Caenorhabditis elegans: one gene and its partner. The protein of the gene in region 1 purifies or fractionates together with the protein of each later gene. This does not show direct contact. Each region holds a gene or a part of one and is shown in the gene's direction. Other genes may lie near its edges.

Region 1 (4,656 bases):
AGCGGTACTGATAAACGTCTTCATGTGTGGGACCTATCTAAGATTGGAGAAGACCAATCTGCCGAAGACGCGGAAGATGGTCCACCAGAGCTGTTGTTTATTCACGGTGGGCACACCGCCAAGATCAGCGATTTCTCGTGGAACCCGAACGAGCCTTGGGTTGTGTGCAGTGTGTCAGAAGACAATATTCTCCAAGTGTGGCAAATGGCTGATAACATATACAACGAAGTTGACGAAGAAACTCCAGCCGATGTGGTAGAGAGACAACAGTAAAATACGTGAAACGCGCTTAAATTATTTGTATTTAACTTCTATCCTTCTTTAATTTTGCATCTCAACAAATTGTTCATCTTACCATTTATTCAAACGCATATTCTTCACCAACTAAGTTTTTAAAGTTAAAATGTTACCTTGAGATATGATCATATTTTGTTGAACCTGAAATAAATTCGATGACCATTGTCAGATAACTGTTTTGAAATATTATGTTAACGTGATTGTTGTGATAGCTCAGATTGTGATATTTTTGGTTTTTTGTTGTATCTTTTGTTATTTCAGGCAATTTCAGAGCACAATGAGTGAAGCTGAATCGTGTGAAGAAACGAGTAAAGAACATAGAATTTGGAAGAAAAATGTTCCATATCTCTACGATACAGTCGTCACAAAAGAGGTCGAGTGGCCTTCTTTATCAGTGCAATGGATGCCTGATGTCACAAAAGTAAGAATCGGTAAATATGATTTCGCCTTCTTCATTATTTTTTTAAGACAGAGAACTCGGATTCATCGATGCATCGAATGATTCATGGAACACATACTTGTGGAGGAGTTCAGAATCATCTCATGATCTCAAAGTTCACAATAACGACAGACACACCAGAATTCGACGACGCTAAATGGGATTCGGAACGTGAAGAGTTCGGAGGTTATGGAGAGGGCAGCGCTGCAAAATGGGATACTGAGATTAAAATCAACCATCCAGGAGAAGTTCATAGGGCACGTTACATGCCACATAATCCTTTCATTATTGCAAGTCGAGGTCCTTCTGATGACGTTTATATTTTCGACTACACGAAGCACCCATCTGAACCAAAAGACACCAAATTTCGACCTCAATTGCGATTGAAAGGCCATGAAGGCGAAGGATATGGAATGTCGTGGAGCAACACCAGAGAGGGACATTTGCTAACTGCCGGCGATGACGGAATGGTATTTCTAACAAAAGATATACATAAATATACATTTTTTAAGATTTGCCACTGGGATATAAACGCGAATCAGACCATTTCCGGTCAAATAGTGCCACAAAGCAAGTTTAAAGGTCATTCATCAAATGCGGAGGATGTTTCTTTTCACGCGCTCCATAATTTCGTTTTTGGATCTGTTGGAGATGATAGAAAACTGTAAGTATAAATACATCATACCATTCTGTCGAGATTTCAAAATAATTTTCACGTCTTTAGAAACCTATGGGATCTGCGTCAATCAAAGCCACAGCTCACAGCCGTCGGACATACTGCAGAAGTTAATTGTATTACTTTCAATCCGTTTTCCGAATACATTTTAGCAACCGGATCTGTTGATAAAACGGTTGCTTTGTGGGATATGAGGAATATGCGCAAAAAAATGTACACGCTGAAACATCACAACGACGAAATATTTCAAGTATCGTTCAGCCCGCATTATGAAACTGTTCTGGCTAGTAGTGGATCGGATGAGTAAGTTTTTTCCTAATAAGTTGTATTTGTTTAACCTATGAAATTTCAAAAATTTCAGTCGGGTTATCGTTTGGGATATTTCTAAAATTCAAGACCCATCGTCTTCATCAGCTGCATCATCTGATTCTGTTCCACCAGAAGTTATTTTTATTCACGCTGGGCATACTGGAAAAGTTGCAGATTTCTCTTGGAATCCCAACCGCCCATGGACTATTTGCAGCAGCGACGAATTTAATGCATTACAGGCAAGAATTATTTTCAAAAAATTAATCATAACTATTTAATGGTTTTTCAGGTGTGGGAAGTTTCAAACAGTTTAGTTTCGTCGGAAAAATGGGAGACCGAAATGATTTAATCGTCTAAATTGCACTTTGTCGAATTTTACTAATTTTCTCACTTCTGATCTTTGAATGTAAAAATCACATTCCTATCAATGAACGTTTTTTCATTTTCTTTCATATTGTGTTCATCTATTCAGAATTAATTTCTCAGGTTTTCTCTGCCACTAAATATTTACTTTGAAAAATAGTGTGTTCACAATGGGGCGCACTTGCGAAACCATGTTTAGTCGGTTTACATTGCTTATTTTCTTACGATAAGGAATATATTGATTAAACATATTTCAAGGTTATCCAGAAAGAAAATGTTGAGAAATTGGAGACTTTTGGTAAGAAGTTTTGCAACAAATTCAAGTGAGGAAATCGCTCCGAAGGTTGATGTTAGTTTGTGAGTTTTCATTTTTTGCATGTTCAAAAAACAAAAAAAAACATTTTTTTAGTCTACGTCCCCGTCATCGAATCATTGCTGCTGGTGGGATGCCACCGGTTCAATTTGATTCTGAGCGTGAACGAGCATCTCGTCGTGAAAGATTCGGAAAATATGGTCTAAAAAGTGGTGTACCAGTTGAAGAGCTGTTCCCAACAGCTGAAGAAATTGAGGAAGAAGAAGCCATTGGATTGTTCAGAGAATTTAATAATGCTAAGAAAGAATACAAAGAACTACAGAAAAAGAAGAGGGAATCAGAGTTAGCGAGGTATACTTTAATTGTAATTTCAAAATTAGCAACATTTTAAAACATAACTTTAAAAAATTTAGAATCGTTCGATAATTTTGCTTCAATTTTGCGAAAATAGGGCAAAAATTAATTGTTTTTGAATTTCGTGCAAGTGGCTGACATGCACGAAATCGGCTTTCCTTGATTTTTTTCTTCAATATTTTATTTGAAACACCGTTTGTCAAATTTTCGGACAATTATATGTTTAAAAAATTAAAAATAGAATTATCGATTTTTAAGACATTTTTGAAATTTTAGTCTTTGCGAATTCTTTACACAAAAATGCCTGAAAAATTTACAAATATGTCATCTGAATCCATTTTCAGAATTGCTGAACTCGAGAAAAATCTCAAAAAGTATCCTGCAACACTTGCAAAATATGAAGCTTCATTGGTTAAACAAGAACAAGAGAAAGACGAAAAGGAAGTAGCACTTGAAAAACGAATTCGTGACATTCAAGAATACTTTGGATATTGGATGGATCCAAAAGATCCAAGATTCGAAGTGATGCTACAGCAAAAAGAAGCAGAAGAGAAGAAGGCTGTGAAAATGGCAAAGCGGGACGAAATTCAGAAGAAACGATTTGCAGAGAACGTTCAGGGATAATATATTTGTCAGATTTCTTAATTTTTCCTAGTTTTTCCTTTTGTCTTTTTCTAGATATAGTTTCTTGTTTTTGTTTTTATTTTCTTCCAACATTATAAATATTTTCAAAAAACCAATGCTCATTTTACCTTTCAATTATTGCCATGGTAGTCAAGCCTATTATTTGAAATCCTCATTTAAAGATTTCTTTTGACGATATAATTAATCCATATTTTCAGCTGGGATGAATCCAACATTTTTAGAATTCATCGGTGCCAATCAACGATCCAGTTGTGGATATTGTAAAAACGATCGCGGCGAACGAACTCCAGCTCGTTCCGCAAAAAGTTAGTCGGATTTCCTAATTTCTGTTGTTGTTTGAAATTAATTCTGATTTTTTACTAACAAACTACTGTTTCCCATTTCCTAAAACTTTTAACTTGATTTGTATACTGCAATTTTCAAACTGCTTAATGTTATTTACTTTTCTATATTGTCGTCTTTAAGAGAATGCTGAAACAGGAGAAGAAGATTTGACAAATGGATTGGAAGAAGAGTTAGAAGTGTCCAGTGAATCGTCAGTGACGACCGGTATGAGTACTTATTGGAGATTAACTTTCTAAAATTCTGATAAAGTTGTCTAATTATAACCCAGTCGCGATTCTTTTAAAACTTTTCCAAACATGTGCGCCTTTAAAAAGTACAGTAATCACATTTTCACTCAGATTTTGCTGTTTTCACTTTATTTTCCTGAGCTTCAATTTATTTTTGTAATTTAATACGTTTTCGAAAAAAAAAGGTTTGAAAACTTGAATTTAATTGTAAAATAACCGGGATTACTGTACCTATTAAAGATTAAAGGCTCACAATGTTAGTGAAATAACCGATTTCGCCCTGTCAGTCCGCATGTTTCTTCAGCACTAGTAATTCACACAATTTCACCGGACAACTTTATGTGGTTTGCAGAGGCTGGCTGGAGCACGTAAGTAAACGAATTCTAACTTTAAATTAAAGTACAACCGACACCTTCTCCAGCTCTTCTTCCAGTTATATTTATAGTTTTTTACTTAATTTTTGTTTGAAATTTTTTTTTGTTGAAAGTTTGCTTACAGGCGGAGCATGGGCACACAGTATGACTGTCAACGACTATTCCGGGCTACTGGATGTGGGCTGGAGAAGGTGGGATTAGTAGGTTTAAGAATTTTGTTCGATTTTTAGAAATGTTCAAATTTTGACACCCTTCATCTCTAAGAATCAAATTTTTGTGGAGTTTCTGATTTAAAAAAAATGAATAAAAATATT
Region 2 (5,352 bases), on another chromosome or scaffold:
TCTTAAAAATAATTAATTTAGATATGTCTAATTAGCTTTAAAACATTGCTTCAAGTATTTTATCGTGAATCTGGAATATAATTGTCTAATTAACGAACTTTGATAATTTTGATGGCTCAATTTTCAGGATCGACCCCATTCGGAGCAGCGTCGACTGGAACAGCCGCGGGATCAACGCTTTTTGGATCGAGTACTGCAAAGCCAGCTACAGGCGGATTTTTTGGTTCCAGCTCAGGGTCTACTCTTGGTGGTCTTGGAGCAACTCAACAACAACAACAGCCTGTTGTTCAGCAGCAACAAGTTATTCAGGTAATTAAATGAATCTTAAGAATATCTGAGCGCTTTTCCAAATAAAATTTTTTCAGCAGTATCACCCATTTGTGAAAGCTGTCGGAGATCCAAAGCTCTTTGGAAATGATAATGATGGAGTTGTTGCTAAGTTGAATCAAGTTGCTGCCGGTTTGGGTGTCGGAAAAGCTCCATACAAAGATGGAAATCAGCTTCTATCGTTTTCAATGGAAGGAAACTTGTTTGAACGATTTGTTGTAAGTTTATTTTATAAATCACTGAAAACTTGCACAGTGTCACGTTTCAGGGAATCGGATACAATCGTATTTCGGAGCGAACCGACGATGAGGGATTTGTAACTTTGGTGCTGCGTCATCCTATTACAAACTTGAACACAGAAGAACGCCGTGACAAAATTCTTGAAATTATCAAAGCTATTCTTGGTGGCGGACCAAATGTAGAAGTTCGATATGCTCCTGGTACTTCGATGAGAACACTTTCTGATGGATGCACAGAAATCTGTATTATCGCCAAAGAAGGCGGATTTGTTGCAGGAGCTATTAAACTTGCTCAAATCCTCAATGATGCTCCAAAAATGACCCAATTAGAATCGCAGTTGCAAGTGGATAAAACAAGGGTTCTTCCTAAAGTTGGAATGTCGAAAGCACAAAGAGATAGATATTTGGAGACAGTTCCTGATGGTTAGTTTACTCGTTATTTTTACTATGTTTATCATTTATTAACAAAGATTTTCGTTTTCCTCCCTCGCATTGTATCAAATTTCATTCATTTCAGGAATCGATGAGCGTATTTGGAGACAAGCAATCAAAGAAAACCCAGCTCCAAACAAACTTCTTCCTGTTCCAGTACGTGGATGGGAAGCATTAAGAGACAGACAGAAGGCTCAAGTTGGCGAGTCGAAACTATTCCACGAGGCAATTAATGCATTGGGAAATCGTGTTGAAGAAGCTAATGTAAGTTGTTATAACTTGATGAAAGTTTACAAATGTCATACATATTTCAGCATGAACATGCAGATGCAGTTGTTAAGATGGAGATTATTCGTAATCGCCATAAAACTCTCTCGTACAGAATTGTTCGTGTTATGCTTGCACAATGGATTGTATCAAGATATTCACGTCAAATTGACACTGATGAGGATGTAATTGAAGCTAAAGCTGATACACTTCTTGCCCAAATGAATCGTCATAATCAAGTGAAGGTGAGAAAAAATTATGATTTAATTTTGTATAAAACAATTAATTTCAGTTTTATGTCGACAAATTCTACGAGATTTTGGAATCAAAACCGGATAAACTTCAAGAATCAATGTGGAAAATGTTTGATATGACAATTGAAGATGAACACTATGCTCGTAGAGTGCTTACCAAATTTGTTAATATTTGCTCTGGCCTTTACGAGTCAACACATCAACAAATCGAAAGTCTTGAAGCTTGTAGAAGGGCTCTAGAAGGATAATTTATTTTTTAGAAAAGATTTTCTGAAAATCTTTTTTTCAGATTTTCTCGTATTAATTTAAAAATTCGCTCATTTCTTTTGTATCATCATTATTTTCTTTCAAACTCTGACAGGTTTCTGGTTATTTCTGTTTCGACCTAAGATGTGTGGCAGAAAATTGTTTTTAAAACTTATACATATTGAGCAAAAAAGCTCGCTTTTTTCTATGTTCGCCTGTCATCACGAGTACATTTTTTCATAAAATATGCCTCATTCTTGGTTGTAACTGTTGATCTGACCTCCTCAAATTGTTAATTGTCTTATTTCACACACTGTTTAATAGATTGAATTAATTCATCTCAAACTTCTATCTAGAATAAATTTGATCTCCATTTTTCTGTTTGAGTTTTGTCAAATAACGGTTGTCTCCCGTTCGAATTTCTGCGATTTTCAAATAATTAGAATCACATAAAAACTATTGCAAAATGTATCTCAGAAAATGGACGATGAAGACAATGATGAAAAGAGACGTCAACGTTCAGATGAAGCTCGTCGAGCCGCGATGAGGCAAAAAATTCAAGATCAGAGAGAAAGAGATCGTCAAATTGCTGCTGACATTGCTAATGTTGACAAAAAAACGACAAAACGCATTGTATTTGAAGATTCGGATGATGGGGATGATCAGGATGAAGAAACAGAAAAAACAGCCGCGAATGGTGAAAAGGTTGGAAGTTTTTCAATTTTTTGAGATAAAAATCTCTTATAACAGCAATTGCCCGATTTCATAAAGTTGTTTGCTGTAAAGACAATACTCGTAAACTAAGTTGGAATAATTCAGAAAACCTCGCGCAGTTCAAAACGTCCAAAACTCTTCGATTCTGAAGATGAAAACGATAAAGATGAGGAGGAAGATTTTGAAATCAAAAATAGACACTCTGGTCCTAAAGGTATTGTCTAAAATTAAAATAAATTAAACCAAAACTATTTTTCAATTTTTAGGCGAAAAGCTGATGCACCTAGAATCACGTTTCAATAGTGATCCCCGATTCAAATTGGACGACAAGTTTGCAGAAAGTGATTCTGATGAAGATGGAAATATGGAGCAGAGCTCGGAAAAGCAAGAAATGAAATTAGAAAAAGATAAAAATCGAGAACTTTTGTCTAAAATTCTAGGAAAAAGTGTCGAAGAGAAAAAACCAAATACTATAGAGTCTTCAACACTTAAAGCTCGACCATTCACTCGTTTCGATCCTGAAAATCCTGAGCATTTGGAATGGATGAAAGCTTTTGAAGCTTCGAAAAATCCACAAAAAGTCAAGAAAACTGAAGAAAGTACAAATTCGGACGAAGATGGGAATGGAAGTGACGAAGGAGACGAAGATTCAACTGAAAAGAAAAAGGAAGAAGTCGTTGAAAAAGACGAGGAAAGCGGTGATGAGAGCTTTGAGAAAGCTGAAATCTTTTTCAAAATGGATGACGCGTTTTCAGCTGAAGTGAGTTTTCAACAAAAAAAAACATTTTTCACACAAAAATTATTTTCAGATGAAAGAACGAAAAGATGGTGATGATCCGTCAACTGGAGGTTTCTCTTTTTTATCAATGATTGGAAGAAAATATGATGACGAAGCAGTTGAAGATGATGGAGAAAATTTAAAGAAAATAGAACCAACACAAAGTAAAGCCGAACCGTCTGGAAATGTTGACAAAATCGAAAAATCTCTACTCAAAGTGAAAGTTAGCACAAAGTTTTTCGTCGATCCTCTGTCGGATGAAAAAATCAAAAGTTTAGCGGCTAATTTCAGAAGAACTCAAACAGTGGAGAAAGTTATTGATAAATGGGCACCTCATCGAGATGCTATTTTCAAGGTGAGTAGTTTTTTTTTTGAGCCTGACCGACTATTGAGCTCTGTTTTATTATTTCAAGCGAGTCTTAATACAAAAAAGATTTCAAATTGTTTTGATTCAGAAAGTTATACCAATTTCCAGTATGATCAAATAAGTCCACCATCTTAATAAATAACAAAATTTTCCCTAACTGTCTGATTCTCGTTACGCATACACAATCTCATTCTCAATCTTTTTGCGGAAAAGTGTCATTATTAATCGATTTTTCTTTCTTCTTCCAATATAAATTATTCATACATTTTTTAGCTCTGGAAGAAACAACGTCGTGATGCAGTAAAAAAGCAGAAAGATTCATTTTTCACAAATGGAAAACGAAAACGGAAAGCTGATACAGGAAACGAAGATGCTCCTGAGACTGCGTGAAATGTTCAAGATCTAATAGTTATTCAATTGTTCGTTGTTGTTTTTGTTGATTTTCAAATGTTTGTTATAGTAAATACATATTTTCAAATGTTTTGATTTTTTTGAAAACTTACTCTGGTTTAATTTCCGATGAGAATACCTTTTACATTTTTTATGATAATTTTTGTTAAACTATCATAATATTTCAGAATTCTTCAGCGTAATGTCATTTTCGGATGTTTTGGATGCAAAACCAAAAGAGCCAAAGCTCTATCGATTGCTTGGGTGTGATGAAAGCTCTTCGGTAGGTTAAACTTTAAAATAATATTTTCATAATTTAAGTTATATTCAGATAGATCAAATAACTGCCGAATATCGGGCACGGGTTCGCGACTGCCATCCGGATAAAGTGAAGGAGCACAACACGAATTCGACTGAAAAATTCATGGAGCTACAGGGAAGTTTAATAAAATAAATTAATATCAATAAAACGCACAATAATTGTTGTTACCTCTTCAGAATGCATATTCTATTTTAACGAGTGATTCTCGTCGAAAAACTTACGATTCGTGGCTTCATTCCCCGTTTCCAGTTTCTTTTGAAGACTTCACAAAGTCTCAGGACACTTTTCAGATGGTAATTTTGGCTCCGATATGTGTTTTTGAGTTTTTTTGGTTCGGTCCTTGTGCTTTTTTGTTGAAACTTTTAATTCTATTTAAAAGAAAATAAAAAATTTCAGTCAACTCACTGGGCAGTTCCAAAATCTCAACCATCTATTGCAGCCAATCAACCAGAAAAGTTGTCTCAAAATTTTAAATCTGAAAAATCTGAAAAATCACGCTGGTCCGACGGTGATCGATATCAATCATCGATTGCCTCGGCTTTTAGAAATTATAAAGTTTAAACCTGAAATTTTTTGCCAAATTTAACACTCCAAAATAATATGAATATTTTCAAAACAATATTTGTATTTTATTCATTTATATCAATTCTTAATAAATGTTTATTGAATACTTCACCTCTACGTCTTTGTTCATATTTGTACCGTATAACTCGGTTTGATATTGTTTTTACGCTCATAATGAGTTTTCAAATTTGAATTTTAGACCTTTTTACTTGCCAGACGATTCTACAAGTTTTGTATGAACGGTGAGTTTCAGATTTCGATGGCTGACACAGCTCAATACGGTATAATTTTCAGTCTACTCGTTTGACGGTCTTGTCGTTGCTGCTCTATTATTCATCTGCACCTGTGCTTATTTGAAACGAGTTCCACGTGTTAGTAGCTGGCTGTTGTCTGAGAAGAAGGGATTCTTCGGAGTTTTTTATAAGGTAAAGATCAGGGCTAAATCCGAAAAA

What was found. The genes of interacting proteins can lie anywhere in the genome.
Region 2: the proteins of K07A1.10 (region 1) and K07F5.14 fractionate together in Caenorhabditis elegans (co-fractionation; one large-scale study listed by BioGRID). This does not show direct contact.

Annotation. Positions count from the first base shown.
Region 1 is NC_003279.8:9,614,020-9,618,675, reverse strand, and holds K07A1.10 (Large ribosomal subunit protein mL64), read left to right. Parts: upstream 1-2,342; 5' UTR 2,343-2,358; coding exon 2,359-2,441; intron 2,442-2,493; coding exon 2,494-2,748; intron 2,749-3,095; coding exon 3,096-3,375; 3' UTR 3,376-3,484; downstream 3,485-4,656. Other genes in the region: putative histone-binding protein lin-53, read left to right, coding at 1-273; putative histone-binding protein rba-1, read left to right, coding at 575-718, 766-1,206, 1,249-1,400, 1,461-1,715, 1,774-1,960, 2,011-2,070; ate-1 (Arginyl-tRNA--protein transferase 1), read left to right, coding at 3,599-3,701, 3,862-3,945, 4,467-4,533.
Region 2 is NC_003282.8:9,859,979-9,865,330, forward strand, and holds K07F5.14 (NUC153 domain-containing protein), read left to right. Parts: upstream 1-2,242; 5' UTR 2,243-2,245; coding exon 2,246-2,470; intron 2,471-2,584; coding exon 2,585-2,693; intron 2,694-2,745; coding exon 2,746-3,239; intron 3,240-3,288; coding exon 3,289-3,612; intron 3,613-3,897; coding exon 3,898-4,014; 3' UTR 4,015-4,089; downstream 4,090-5,352. Other genes in the region: npp-1 (Nucleoporin Nup54 alpha-helical domain-containing protein), read left to right, coding at 128-309, 366-545, 596-989, 1,084-1,262, 1,313-1,510, 1,558-1,767; K07F5.16 (J domain-containing protein), read left to right, coding at 4,217-4,297, 4,346-4,447, 4,510-4,629, 4,733-4,897; K07F5.22 (Protein kish), read left to right, coding at 5,136-5,142, 5,195-5,325.